Linked DNA regions of Struthio camelus. The protein of the gene in region 1 interacts with the protein of each later gene in a biochemical or structural test. Links are inferred from orthologs where the notes say so. Each region holds a gene or a part of one and is shown in the gene's direction. Other genes may lie near its edges.

Evidence for each region. The genes of interacting proteins can lie anywhere in the genome.
Region 2: of the proteins of LRRK2 (region 1) and MAP2K3, one has a biochemical effect on the other in vitro, tested with the Homo sapiens proteins (2 studies listed by BioGRID). The link is inferred for Struthio camelus from reciprocal best matches to the Homo sapiens genes LRRK2 and MAP2K3.

What each region holds. Positions count from the first base shown.
Region 1 is NC_090942.1:16,687,611-16,695,035, reverse strand, and holds the start of LRRK2 (leucine-rich repeat serine/threonine-protein kinase 2), read left to right. Parts: upstream 1-4,390; 5' UTR 4,391-4,490; coding exon 4,491-4,659; intron 4,660-4,744; coding exon 4,745-4,830; intron 4,831-7,425. UniProt on the Homo sapiens protein: Serine/threonine-protein kinase which phosphorylates a broad range of proteins involved in multiple processes such as neuronal plasticity, innate immunity, autophagy, and vesicle trafficking.
Region 2 is NC_090956.1:4,372,975-4,380,635, forward strand, and holds the start of MAP2K3 (dual specificity mitogen-activated protein kinase kinase 3), read left to right. Parts: upstream 1-4,650; 5' UTR 4,651-4,756; coding exon 4,757-4,772; intron 4,773-7,661. UniProt on the Homo sapiens protein: Dual specificity kinase. Is activated by cytokines and environmental stress in vivo. Catalyzes the concomitant phosphorylation of a threonine and a tyrosine residue in the MAP kinase p38.

The sequences.
Region 1 (7,425 bases):
CAGTTCTGTTAAAGAGCAGCTAACCCTCACTGTGGTCTTTATGGTTAGGTACCAGAACAAGCCACCCACACTCTCTGATGCATCATGAGAAAGAGTGCAGAAATATAAGAATCTTCCAGTATGGAAAAATAATAACTACTGGTGCTCCAGAGGTGAAGTTCTTTGGCTTTCCTATCAAAGCACTGGAAAAATGGTATTCAGACACCTATACTTCATTATCAATGCTCAACCTCTCTAGCAGTCATCATGACAAAAACTGCTTAATCAACAACCCTTGCTCTCTTTTGCAGATATGATTCACATCTTCACCAGCCTAAGAAAAATCTATGAATACCAGAGAAAATAACATTATGAACTTTTATCAAGAGTTTGTTCTTTTCATTCTCCTCTGGTTTAAGTGATACACTGCAGAATCGCACAGGACTTCGCAAACCATCCCAGACTCGTGGATACTTAGCAGTAGCTGATGCCCCCTCCAAGCAGTCCTCCAGGGAACAGTTTGCGAAGGAATGAAACTTGGGAGCCAGTCTGCAAGCTTTGGGCTTGAGATGTCTGTATCTCAAAAGGCTGGGTCCGGCTGGGTCCTTTACATATTCAGTCCCCTAGGAAGCACTAAGACAACTTTTTTTCTTGCTCTTTACCAATGCAAGAGGAAAGAGGAGGGAACATCAAACCAGGCCACAAACCACCTAGCTCAGGGAACAAACAATTGCTACAAATCATTTACCCAAAGAGCTGCAAAGGATTAGGGAGATAGTATCACCTGTACATAACGGGATGGAGCAGGCTGGAACTGCCTGTTGCAACTGGCAGCATTTGCCAGAAAGGTAGATACAGGGTGCACATTGAACATTTCGGAGAAGATTGATCATCATGTTTTCTGTGTTTATAATACTGCTGGAGTTCAGCTGTTAGCATTACTTGCTTGCCCTATCTCTTGCATTTTTCACAGGGACACCTGTTAGGTACCTGAAAAAGAAAACTTAGGATACCGTCTCTGGTAGTGCCTGCCAGTCAAAAATCAACTGAGGAAACATGCAGTAGTAAATATGAATTTGACCAATCATGTGTTATTATACTGTATAACACTGCCATAAGCCCATTTATAAATAGATGAAGCTAGGCACAACACAGAAGCAATTGCACCAAGTCAATGTTCATATAGTGATTATAATATGCTAGTGAATCCTAAATATGCTTTGAACCTTACAATTCAGGTTTAAAAAAGTGTATTCAAGAGACAAGTTCTCCAATTTCTGTACAATACAATTGCTTATCAGCATGACTGGGTTTCTACTTTTTCCCCTGAAATTAGGTGACAGATAAGAACAAAGACTTCCTGGTGCATGCGTGTTAACATTACAGTGTTCAAGGCCAAACCCAAACATCTGTATTGTTTTACATCCTCTCCACAAACATCATCAGTTAAGTTATTTTTAATATCCTGCATAGCTCCACATTGTCCCAAAGAGTGTTTATAAGCCACAGCTGGAAAGAAAAAGCAGGATGTCCTAACACAGTAGGCATCTCAGTGATAACTCTACCACCGAGATGCAAGAATCCAGCTTGTTTAAAAAAAAAAAAAAAAAAAAACACACACACATCTCCAAAGAACTCTGGTCAACCATGTACTTTATTCACTGTGATACAGAAATACAAAAGCTGAAGGTAGAGATCCGTTCTCATACGTTAGCAGGTAGAACAATTTATTAGTCTATGCTATGTCAGTATGTCATACTGTGTCTTTATAGCTGTCTGGATGGTCACACACCAGAGACAATACCATATATAATAATGAGCATTAGTTCCATCTGAGTCTAAGAGGACAAATAAAGAACGGCCCACAGTGGGCAGGTGGCTATTTGTCTAGCTATAAAACAAGAAGCAGAAATAATCCCTCTTATACTCAAGGCACTCAGCATCAAGAAAGACCCAGCTGCTACATATTTCTGGCAGATTTCGTAAAAACTATGAAAAGCTAATGCAAGTGTATGGAAGTGAAAGTTATCTGTAGTTTAGGGACGAACAAGGGAAGCTGAGCAACTCTGAAACCTCTAGAAACCCAAATAGGACATGCTGAAGAAATCACAGGTGAGATGTCTAAGAGACAGAAAGATCTTTTAAAGTACAGACTAAGATTACATTTTAGCTCTACTTTTTATCTTCTCTTTCCACCTAACAACCTAATACCCTGACCTTAAGTTTGCCAAACAGCTGGCAGCTGTTGGGGGCAGAGCGGATCAGAAAAGAACCGACCAACACAGTACTCTAAAAGCAGCAAAACAAACTCAGCACATACATGTAATCTCCAGCAGCCTACACCCAGGATGTAGTTAAAGAACCCACCTTATTTCAGGAGAAGGGTTCTCAATTCTCAAAGAGTTCTCAAAATGGAATCTCAATTTTCCTTAATGAAATTCACAACTTCATTCCACTTGCATTCACTGAAACTCCCAGTCTATACATAATTTGTACTAGCGTATTCCTAAAAAACCACAATGCAAAGAAATCTGGAGCAGCAGTAGAGCTGGTGAAAAATGCACCACTGAGTGCACTGAACAGCCACAAAATTCAGTTTAAGATTAAGATTTAGAAGTTAATGTATCACTTCATCTATCAATATCATTAATTATAAGATATAGTTTTGGAGAGACTAGACCTCACAACAGGCATTTCTGATGAGTATAAATTACGAAGATTGCCCTTTAAATACATCAAATCATTTACTCAAGTCTGATAATGGCTACGTTTTGGTAGGTATTCGAGAAAGCTGATTATTGATGTAACATGAAAGACTATTTGTATTCGTAAAATTTGCAGGATACAAGAACCTTGTCAAATTTGCAGGAAGGCTATGATCAGGCTTTAAGTCAAGAAAAACATTTTAAAGCTGCTCTTTGCGTTAGAATTACTGCCTCTGCAGAAAGGAAACACATCTTTCAAGTAAAAGTAATCTATTTCAATCCAACTCATTTTCCTTTTAGTTCAGATGTAATGCATTTTGTTTAAGTCAAAATGCGAGTCACTGCTTCATAAAGCTACCTCACACTCATATTTGTTCTCTAGTGCTTCACAGAGAAATAACTAGCTCACCATCTAACAAATGCAGTCTTAGTTAGCAGGCTATAATTGGGAGGCCAAGACAATAGTTTCTTTGTGCACAAAAATGTAAGAACTCTCAGTGACTGGGACAGCAATGCCCAAGTTTTTCAGGACCAAAACGCCAACAGACCAGAGACAGTTTAGCCAGCGCTACGTGGGTTCTGAAGCGTTACTCAGAGTGCTCAGTTCTGCTTCTTAAGAAGAGTCTGTTTTAAGAAACTCAAGCCAATCACCTAAGTCAGGTGTTCAATAAACACGATGCATATCTATCCACAAGGCATGAAAACCTAAGCAAGAGCTTCAAATAGATCCATACTCCTACCATCATCCTCCAAAAGGTCAAACGTTTATCTAACAAAATCCAGTTTAACTAGATAATTTACTTTATTAACTAACACTTTTCTTTGAAAAGCAGCAAGAGGTACCAGAAATATTGTCAGATTACAGGAAGATTGCATCAATCACAAATGAAGCAACACATGCACAAGGCAAGAGAGCCTTGTCTCAGGAAGGCCCACCGTTGCAAAGCTTAGAGTGAAATTTAACTTCTAAATGCAACACCACTTTTTTTTTTTTTTAACCAAACCTGTGGACCTAATTGAGGCCATCAGGCCAAACCACTCAGGAGGGCAGAGCACACACTGCCCTCCACCACGGTCAACTTGAACCACTGAGGCCCTCTGCTCTCATCTCAGCCACCACACAGCCGACTTAACCTCTCAAGGAAGGGGAGGAGCCCCCTCGCTGCCCCCCCAGGCCCTCGCTGACAGCCCAGCCACAGGAGGGGACACGCAACCCCCCTGCACCTCCCCAGGCAAGGCGGACCTCACCAGCTCAGGACCTGTCCTACCCTCCCAGAGGGGACAGACACACAGCCTACACACGCTCCCCCTTTCCCTTCCCTACAGACTACAGCACCCCGCCCCCAGACCTATTTTCCTCTAATACACTCAGATGAGGAACCCTCAGCCCCTCACGCCGCCCTATATCGTAAACGGGGGCGAAGGGGCGGAGCCGAGGCCTCCCCTCTGCCACTCTATTGGAGAATGGGGCTGTCGCTCACTGGAACCGGGCCCGCCGCCTGGGGCTGTTGCCAAGCCGCCGCGGGCGCCCCCTGGGGGCGGCGGGGATCCCCGCCCGCCCGCCCGCGCGGGTTTGGCAGCGCGCCGCGCCGGTCACGGCCCCGGGAGGAGCGGGGCGGAGCGCAGCGCAGCGCAGCGGAGTGGGGAGCGGCCGCCGCGGAGGCTCGGAGCAGCTGGGTGACGCCGGCCGGGCGGCGCTGCGAGCGCGGCGCAGCGTGGCGACGGGCGGCCCCAGCCCTGCTCCCTTGGGCCGCGGCGGCCCGCGCGTGGGGTGAGCCGCGGCCGAGGAGGGGCAGCGGGGCGGCCATGGCCAGCGCCAGCCCTGAGGAGAGGGAGGCGGCGGCGGCGGCGGCGAGGGAGGAACAAGCCCTGAGCAAGCTGGTGGTGCGGCTCCAAAACGTGCAGGAGAGGAAGCGGCTGGAGACGCTGGTGCAGACCCTGAGCGACCTGCTGGAGCTGGCGGCCCGGCAGAGCGGTAAGGCGCGGCGGGCCGCGCTGCCCCCCCCCGCCCGGCGGCGGCGGGCGCTAACGCGGCCTCTCTGCCTCCCCCCTCTCCGCAGCCCCGAAACTCTTCAACGGCAGAAACGTCCACGTGCCGGTGCTGGTGGTGGCCGACCTGTACGCGGGAGCGGCGGGCGTGCAGCAGGTAACCGCCGGGCCGGGAGGGGAGGGGAGGGGAAGGGGCCGCCGCCGCCGCCGCGGCCCGGCCCGGAGTGAGGCGTGAGGCGGGGACGGGGCGGCCCTCGCCGGCCGGGGACGGGGCCGGGGCCCGGCCGCCGCCGCCCTCCACAAGGGCGAAGTCGGGAGAGGAAACGGCGGATTAAAGCGCCTCTGGGCCACCCCGGTGCTCTCCGGCTAAGCCGAGCCTCTCCGTCCTTTCCTGGAAGAAAAATTACTGCTTGGCTCTTTCTTTCCCGTTTTCTTAATTTTCGTATGTTTGAGAAGGCGACCCTCGGAAGGCTGTTGGTCTGCAGAAGGACGCGGTGTCTGCTTGCTTTTAAAAGGGATGGCTCTTCCAGCTCGTCGCTGGTGCTGCTTAAGCAATAAAAGGAGGTAGCGTAGAAAATAGAAGTCAAGCAACGCGAATACGGTATTGCATAGGTTCTGCGTTACAAATAACGTTATCTAGCGCGTTCTCGACCTGATGGTATTACCCTTTGCCGAGGTTGAACTGACTTTTGAAAAGTGGAATGATACAATACGAATCCAGACATCTGTAGCCCTATCCTACAAGAGAGTTGTACCAGCCGCTGATTTTTTAGGAGAGGAAAATTCTTCTTTTAGCTAAGAAGAGGTTCTGCAGTCTATGGTCGTGCTTGGCTTTTGCCCTCCCTTGACATTGGCCCAGTTGGATTAGGTGTGGCACATCTGCAATTTGATGTTGTACTTGCAGTGCAGTTGCCAGATTTGTCATATGAAACAACTCCTTCTTGGCAGGCATATATTAAATTTACGACTGTGTTATTCCCAAAGGACGTTCATAAATTGTAGATGTCTGTGCAATGCGTTCGCTTTTTTGTTAAAAAAAAATTGTATGATTGCAACATTTCTGGCATCTTTTTTTTTCTATTCACTAGAAAGCAAACCATAAATGATGTCATAAAAGCGGCTTAAATAATGGTACTATTTAAGAGCACGTTTCTTAAGCTACTAGACCTTAGCCAGAGGTCACAAATATACAATTCAGATTAAAATGTGAAACTGTACTCCTGCCTGTGATGTGTAATGTTTACAGTGGCAATAACAATCCTCTCAAGCATATTGCCTCTCGAGCAATATGCTCTAGAGGTCCCTGCTTGAGCAGGGAGGTTGGACTAGATGATCTCCAGAGGTCCCTTCCAACCTAAACGATTCTGTGATTCTGTGATTCTTTTGAACACTAAAATATCTGTGCAGAATTTGAAGTTTTAACTTATTTTACTATTCAATTGTTGGGTCATTAAGAAATACAGAAGGATTCCTCATCAATTACTTTGGGGATAAAACATATTATGTATGTAACAGTTTACAAAATTAACGTCCAGAAGTTTGGACTAGGAAGTACAAAATACGAAATCCAGTAACAACCAGGAGTAGGTCTGAAATGACTTTGTGGAATGCTTAGACGTGCATAAGGAAGATAGAGATCATTTAATTTTCATTTTAGCTATGCTAACACTCCTCTTACATGATTTAATGCAGAATTTTAAAACAAATTTTAATCTTCACTCTGCCTGCCTTTGCAATCTCACAGTGCTTCAGTTCAGAAGTTTCGGAGCACTTTTATGTTACTACATTGTATATGAGTGTCAGATTCATAGCCAGGGCAAAGCTCAAATCCTGTTACTCATAAAATGCCGTGGGCAGCTATTCCTTCACTTTCTGTTACGATATTTACAACAGTAAATCCCACAGTATAGGAGTGGAACTCTATCTTCCTTGCTTCATCCACTGTGATTCATTTGCAGTCCTTATGAATACACAAATCTCACTTCAGGCACTGAGGGAGTCATGTAGTCTGCATTTCAGTGCAGTCCCTTTATACTACTAAATAATTTTTGTTGAACAAATTGGATAATCAGCCAGTAGCCTCTTTTGCTTTTGGCATTGTAATAAAATTGATTCGTATAAGCGAGTCAACGCAGTAAGAGCTCTATCTGAAGTGAGGATTGTCTTTTCCTCTTCTGCTTAGCTGGTTACAAAGCATCTCGTGCTGCTGTTCCACTGAGTAAATTTGCTGCATAGATCAATATTGCAGGTATCAGTGCAAGTCGAACTACAGATAGAAACTTTGCAAACTTCTTTACAAGTAGGAAGGTACCGGACTGGAAAGTCAATAGTGCCTTAAAATAAAATAGACATCTTTTAAGTAAATATGGTTGTTTCTTTCTGCAGTTACTGACTGGCAGTGATTGCAGCAGCTTAGCGAGTGTAGAGCAAAACATGTTTATACTTGAGTAAAGAGCAATCAGCAGAGCTTTATTGTCTCACACAGAAAGCGTGAGCTAATGCAATATAAATTCATTGCATGCTAGAAATGAGAAGGGGCTGATTAAATAGCCACAGGGTTTCAGTGCTGCCACCAACTGTTCCTGTCTCTAGGGACCGGCTTTAGCTGTAAGAATATTCTTGTTTTCTGTCTTTTTTCTTTTTTCTTTTTTTTTTTTTGCTTTCCCTGTAGGCTTTAGACTCTCTGGTATTCTGGTATTTAACAGACTCTTACTTTCTTGTATTACTATTAAACACATAAAAGGCTGTCTGT
Region 2 (7,661 bases), on another chromosome or scaffold:
GGGCAGTCCTCCGCTGCTGTGCTGCTACTGTGCTGGGTGCTCTGCACTGGTGTACTGGACCTGCACCAGTCTTGCATGGCTGTACTGGTGCTGCACTGGTACCTTGCACTGGCGTACTGGTCCTGCATGGTTGTACTGGTGCTACACTGGTACTCTGTAGAGGTGTACTGGTGCAGCATGAGTGCACTGGGGTGGTGTACTGGTGCTGCACTGGTTTGCTCTACTAGCATACTCACTCTTGCTCTGGGGTATGGTGCAAACCCTAAATTCCTGCACCTCACGTGATGCCCCTTTCCAGAAGCGCGGTGCCTTTTCCCGCATGCTGGTGGGCTGTGGGAACACTCCGCTGCAGGGCAACACCAGGCTGCGTTTGTAGGCAGCGCTGAAAACCCCACAGACACCACGAGGCTTCCCGAAGGGGCTGGCTACAGAAACGGTGCTGCATGGGTGTCCAGCTTCTTGGGGCGCTTGTCCTGAGAGACAAGCAGGCTGCAAAAGCAGGAGAAACTGTGTATGTTGGCTGTTACAGGATACCACAGACACCTGAGCATGCGTGTGGGGAGCACAGATACCATAGACAGTGTATTTGGGATGGCTGCATTAATTGCATCTTTTGAAACATAAGGAACTTGACTTTCCATGCACCATGTTGTGTAAATCAGAGTCTGTTCAATGAAATCGGTGTATCCACTATATGCAAAATTGGTTGATGAAATAGGCTGTCTGGTTCCTTGTTTGTTGAGCCGTAGCAACAAAATCTTGGTATCCTTGAACTGAAAGCTTTTGGAGGTAGGAGCTGCATCTATAGAAAGTGTTTGCGCAACAGCTAGTGCAGTGGGGCAGGGTGGTGGCTGTTTGTATAATAGGAAAAGTAACAATATTTAGAATTATTCTATAAAGTGGAATAGATAATCAGCGTAGTCTGCGCTTAAATAATGCCTTGTGAAGTTAGGCCTTCATTTACTAATCCCTTTGGTTCCTACTCCCTGAAGTCAAGAGTTTACAGACTGATTGATTCCTCAGGCCAGCAGGTTTATTTGGCTCATGCCGCTCCATGGACCCGGGCTGATGCCAAGGCGTTGTGCTGAACGCAGGCTCCGGAGCTGCGCGCCACCGCTCAGCAGAGCCCGTGGAGCTGCAGTACCTGCCAGGCTGCAGAAATGGGCTGGCTCTGGTGGGAGAAGGCTTCGTTACCTTCCTGGTACGTGAAAGGCTAGAAAATGTCAGTAACGTGAAGTTGTCCTTCTCCTGCGCTCTTTAGCCGGTGACCTTGAGAGATTTAACAAACGCAAATTAGCCGCTTTCACGGCGTGCCTGCGTGGTTGGTATGCGGTGTGATCTCCTTTGTAAGTCACGGCACAAAGCGGTTAAGAAATGCGTCCCACGTCGCTAGGCAGATCTGCGGCGGTTCGGCGGGGAGAAAGGAAGCCTGTGGCTGAGGTTCAATTCCTTCCTTTGTTACAGGCCTTCTGGGCGAGCGGGGAATCAATTACTCCCTCCCAGCAGCCTTCGCTAAGCCCGTGCTTCCAGGCCGTATGGCGATGCTGGAAGATAAAGATGGCAAAACATTGTGAGCACGTGAACGCAAGGGAAGCCAAACACAGGCTGTAAAGAGCAGGGCCCAGCACAGCTGTGATTTTGTGGGGAGGAAGAAGATGAGCGGCATGAGCTCAAGGGCATGGGGGAGCCTGGCGCAGGTGGAGACAGGGGCCAAATCCAGCACCCGGCTTTGAGCTGTGAGGGGGTGCCAATGCCCTGGAGCCTGCAGGAGGGGCTCGGGGGAAATGCGTGGCTGGGATCCTGAGAAGGGATGGAAAGGAGAAGCGTATTGCACGTGGACGAAGGGGAGCTCCCCGCTGGGTTTCCCTGCTCTGCGGTGACAGGGGACGTGGCAGGTGCTGCATCCGGCTGTGCGGGCGCCGCACACTTGGCGGCTCTCAAACCCGCCCTGGCGCAGCGCCACAGCAGCGGGGCTGGGGACAGTCCCCAGCTCTCTCCTCCAGCGAGGCCGCCAGCCACTGAAGTGCAGAGCGTCGAGCGCCAGCAGCAAGGACCTCAGCGTGTTCAGTGCGGTCTGACCCACACCTCCCTCCTTTTCCCTCCGTCCTTCCAGAGCCTACAAAATCCACAGATTTACCTATAACATTCTCGAAACGTGGAGTGGCCTTCCAGGAATGCTAAAAATCTACCTCCCTTGCGGAAGTTTCTGGGAACGCTTAAGCTCTGCTGGGACATTTTGCTCTGCCTTTGCCTGTGATGATTACCTCTGCCTCAGGCCAGCAATTACAGCTCCCTCTGATCTTTCCGATACACTTACCCAGCAGTGAGTCGGTTGGATCTGATGATGAGCAGCTCAGACAGACAGGAGGAGTTGCAGGCAAAAGAAACAACTCCGGCAGACACCTAGAGGTTGCAAAATAAAGAGAAAGATGCCCATGAGAGGCAACTGGGCCCTGGCTCCAAAGAGGAGATGACCAACCCTCAAATGCTGCCTCTGGTCCTGTTCCTGCCCTTCCGGCCGGACCATTCTCCTTCTCCTCATTGCAGCTAGCAATGGTTCATGAGTTTTCCTTCTCTCCCTAGCCCCAGTGCCTTGCCAGCCTGTCCGATTTTCATGCTGAGCGCATCCAAATTCCCATTCATACCTCTGCAGCGCTTCTGCGTCTGAAGATCTCCGAGCAGGTTACAAACATCTGTTGGTTAAACTCCCCAGTGATTCAAGGAGGAGGAATAAAACGAGGCGATTGTTTCATCCACCCCTTTAATTGCAGCCCAGGCTGGAGCAGGCAGCAATCTCCTGCCGTGCCTGGTGGTGAAAGGAGGAGGAACCACATAGCACAAAACGTGCTCCTAGACACAAGGGTTGCGCCCCGCGCTCACAAGGGCTCCCCCAGGCTCCGGGGAGCACAACGGCCAAGATGTCTCCGGTGTTACGTTGCCGAAGCCGGCCCCACCGGTCCTTGCAGGTGCCCTTCCAGCTGGAGACAAGGGAGTCTCCTATTTGCTAAGGCGCAAAGGAGCGCTCTTCTCTCTGCAGTGGCATCCAGCGAATCTCACACCCAAATACTGACCCAGCCCAAACCTGTTCGGATCAGCCAGTCTGGAGTTCAAACCCAACTGCTGATTCAGAGGTTTGTAGGGCTAAAAGCCAGGAAAGTCCATGATGATCTGATCTCCTGCTTACCCAGCCCAAAGAATGACATCGGTAGCTCTTGCTTCACCACTAATAACCTTGTGGTTGGAACAGGAGCATATTTTTTAGAAAGACTCCTTGTCTGTGTTGAAAGACTGGAAAGGTGGTGAATCTACTACATCCCTTGGGAAGGTAATTGCTGTCACCATTAAAAAATTTGTAATTTATTTCCCATTTGAACTTTTCTAGCTTCAGTTTCCAGTTGCTGGCTCTGACACCACTGCGGCCGGATTAAAGGTCCATTCGAGGCGGGACATCTTTCCTTTGCATAGACACGGCCCACCCAGCTCCTCCGCTTCTGCTGCGATTCCCGTGCGCTGTTTCTGAGACAGGTTTTCCAGTCCTTGAACCCATGCAAAACGCTTCGCAAAACACACGTCTTGGAACTGGGCTTGCTGCGACTTCACCGAGGCTGCGTTCAGGGTTGCCGCCTCTCCGACCCCTCCTTCCGTCCCTGGACGGATCACACTGCGGATTCCTGCCAGAAAACTGCATTCCCAACTTGCTTTTTGCTCATTTCCGCTACGTCACTCGTGTCCTGCTCAGCCACTGCTTTCTGCAACGCAGCAGGCGCAGAAGAAGAGCCCCCTCACGCCGCCGGCATCTGCCCGGGCATATTGCTGGGCTTGAAGGAATTTTGTGGTGACTCAGGGCGAGGAACGAATTCCCGCTGGCTTCCCAGCCCGGCCTGCGCGCCTCCGTGCATCCCCAGCGCCTGCGATAAACACAGCCGCCCTTCAGGATCGGACGCCGGCGTGAGCGGGCCGGGCTGGGCCGGGGCAGCTCGGCGGGGGCACAAGGGGTATCGCCCAGAGCAGCCGTCCCAAGGGAAACGTGATGAGCTGGCTGGTCTCAGCCGTGCGAAGCGCTGGGCCCCCGCCGGCGGATGGGGGGGCCGGTCCGGCCCCGCCGTGGTCCCGAGCGGCGAGGGGCCTCGTGGGCTCGGGGCGGCGGGACCGGGTGGCGCGAACGGGCCGACGAGCCTGACGGGCCGGGGCTGCTGGTGCTGGGCCCCTGGACGGCCCTGCACGGGACGGCGGGCTCGGGGCTCTCGGGTGGGCCCCGGGCGAGGAGGAGGAGGAGGGTGATGGCTTCCCCGAGCAGGGGAGGAAGGCTCCGAGGCCTCGCCGTGGCTCACGGCCCGCGGCAGCCAGGGAGGCCCGTGCGGCCCCACGTGCCGCAGCCTCGCCGAGGCCCCGTAGCCTCCCCTCAGCCCCGAGCCGCCGTTCCGGGGCAGCCGAGCGGCCTCGAGCCCCGCCTCGGTGCAACGGGGCGGTTGGCGCAACGGTGCTGGGGGCAAGATGGAGGAGAAAGCCTCCCTCTGCCCGCCCGCCCGCCTGCCTCCCTCCAGCCGCACGCCCGAGAACCATAAAACTCTCCGAGCCCTAACCCCGCCCCCTCCCTCCAGACAACCAATAGAAGGGAAGCTCCGGCGGTGGGGGGCGGTGCCTGGCCAGCCCTCGCCCCGCCCCGCGGCTCTTTCCCCGCTGTCGGCCGCGCTCGCCCGGACACCGCCGGGCGCTCGCCGTGCCCTGGGCATGCTGCGGGCCGCCGCCGCCAGCCATGTCGCTGCCCAGAGGTAGGAGAGCGGCGCCGCCGCCGCCGCCTCGGGGAGGGCGGGCTGGGGGCGGCCCGCAGCGGGGGCCTGGGCCTCGCCGGGCCTCGGGTGCGGGGGGGCGCGAAGCGGGGCAGGGCCGGGCGCGTCCCGAGAGGTGGCCCGCTGTGCTCCAAGGAGTCCTCGGGCACGTCTGAAGGCATCGCCCAGCACGTCCCTACCGCATCCCTGGCCACGTCCCTACAGCATCCCCCCCGCGCGTCCTACGGCATCCCTGGCCACGTCCTACAGCATCCCCCCGCGCGTCCTACGGCATCCCTGGCCACGTCCTACAGCATCCCTGGCCACGTCCTACGGCATCCCTGGCCATGTCCCTACAGCATCCCTGGCCACGTCCTACAGCGTCCCTGGCCACGTCCCTACAGCATCCCCCCGCGCGTCCTACAGCATCCCTGGCCATGTCCTACAGCATCCCTGGCCACGTCCCTACAGCATCCCTGGCCACGTCCTACAGCATCCCTGGCCACGTCCTACGGCATCCCTGGCCATGTCCCTACAGCGTCCCTGGCCACGTCCCTACAGCATCCCTGGCCACGTCCCTACAGCATCCCTGGCCACGTCCCTACAGCATCCCCCCGCGCGTCCTACGGCATCCCTGGCCACGTCCCTACAGCATCCCTGGCCACGTCCCTACAGCATCCCTGGCCACGTCCCTACAGCGTCCCTGGCCATGTCCCTACAGCATCCCCCCGCGCGTCCTACGGCATCCCTGGCCATGTCCCTACAACATCCCTGGCCACGTCCTACAGCATCCCTGGCCACGTCCTACGGCATCCCTGGCCACGTCCCTACAGCATCCCTGGCCACGTCCTACGGCATCCCTGGCCACGTCCCTACAGCATCCCTGGCCACGTCCCTACAGCATCCCCCCGCGCGTCCTACGGCATCCCTGGCCACGTCCCTACCGCATCCCTGGCCACGTCCTACAGCATCCCTGGCCACGTCCCTACAGCATCCCCCCGCGCGTCCTACGGCGTCCCTGGCCATGTCCCTACAACATCCCTGGCCACGTCCCTACCGCATCCCTGGCCACGTCCCTACCGCATCCCTGGCCACGTCCCTACAGCATCCCCCCGCGCGTCCTACGGCGTCCCTGGCCATGTCCCTACAACATCCCTGGCCACGTCCTACAGCATCCCTGGCCACGTCCTACGGCATCCCTGGCCACGTCCCTACAGCATCCCTGGCCACGTCCTACGGCATCCCTGGCCACGTCCCTACAGCATCCCTGGCCACGTCCCTACAGCATCCCCCCGCGCGTCCTACGGCATCCCTGGCCACGTCCCTACAGCATCCCTGGCCACGTCCCTACAGCATCCCTGGCCACGTCCCTACAGCGTCCCTGGCCACGTCCCTACAGCATCCCCCCGCGCGTCCTACGGCATCCCTGGCCACGTCCCTACAGCATCCCTGGCCACGTCCCTACAGCATCCCCCCGCGCGTCCTACGGCATCCCTGGCCACGTCCCTACGGCATCCCTGGCCACGTCCCTACAGCATCCCCCCGCGCGTCCTACGGCATCCCTGGCCACGTCCCTACAGCATCCCCCCGCGCGTCCTACGGCATCCCTGGCCACGTCCCTACAGCATCCCCCCGCGCGTCCTACAGCATCCCTGGCCTTGCCGGGAAGCCTCCCCAGGTGCCACACTTGCCGCGGGCATCGCGGTGGCCCCAGTCTTGGTGGCACCCGGGGACGGCGGTGCCCTGCGGGGGCCCCCCTGGCAGCAGGGATGCGGGGCGTGCTTTCCCCGCGCGGACGGTGCAGCCTGGATGTCCCCAGCCGGGGTTGGCACCCGGTGAGCGCGTCTGGGCGCAGCTTTGGACCTTGCGTTTGTTGACAGAGGTGGTGGGGCAGGCCTCCGGCGCGGCCTGGGCTAGGGACAAGGTAATCGGCCTTTCCGAGCGTGTTGTCCCCCCCTCGTGATGCAAGTTTTCAGGTGTCAACTGGATGGTCCTTGTCTTAATATTGGTTTAATTAAGGCTTAATGGAGTAATTAAGTCTTATGTAAACTGGGAAGATAGGATGCTAGATATAAAATTGTTGCCTAATCTTTCGTGTATAAGTTTCCTGTTATCTGCACTCTTGGTGTACCGCCAGGAAAGTGCTGATAGGTAGTGCAGTTCTGTTAGGTGAAGTAAAGAAAATCTTTCAGGCTTGCCTCCCTTGTAATTAAGTTGCTTATGCGGAAACAAAAGTATGTGAAGCTCTTTGGAAACAGCTTGAAGACAACCATCCCTGTTCTTGTCCATTCAGAATCAGAGACGTGGATCTACCTGGCCATGCACGTGAGGTTCCTCAGTTCTCATCCATTTTGCTGCGTCTTTGCACGTGCTTAAAAGCATATGCGTGATTTTATAGGATCTGGGCTGAAATGATCTGAAGTTGCTGGTAGGCAGGAATGCTCTGTTGGCCAGTTGGAACGATTGGACTGACTCGCTGTTTTTAAGTTGGTGCCTGAATAGATAAACGAGTGATTTCACCAGATGGAGCAATTGGGCAGCGTGTTTTTCTGTCCGTCGAAACATCTTGGCAAGTGCAGAACGCTCAGAAACTGAGCAAGGCCGACACTGGTTCTAAACTTACTGAGCCTGAATTGCAGTACAAGGGCCAGACCGCTAAGCTGGGTACTATATGGTGGAGGCAAGATGGGAGGTGATGTTCCCCTGCTTCTTCCAAAGCGTTAGCTGTATTTGTGACCTGCTGCCTGATCCCAGTTGGGGGATGTTGTGCTGTTTGGATGTGCTGGCTTTGTGTTGTCCCCCTCTTCTGGTTCGGCACTGGGACACAGTTCTTACACCCTTGTCCTGTCTGCACCGTCCTGAGGTACCAAATTTGGGACGTGTGTGTTTCTT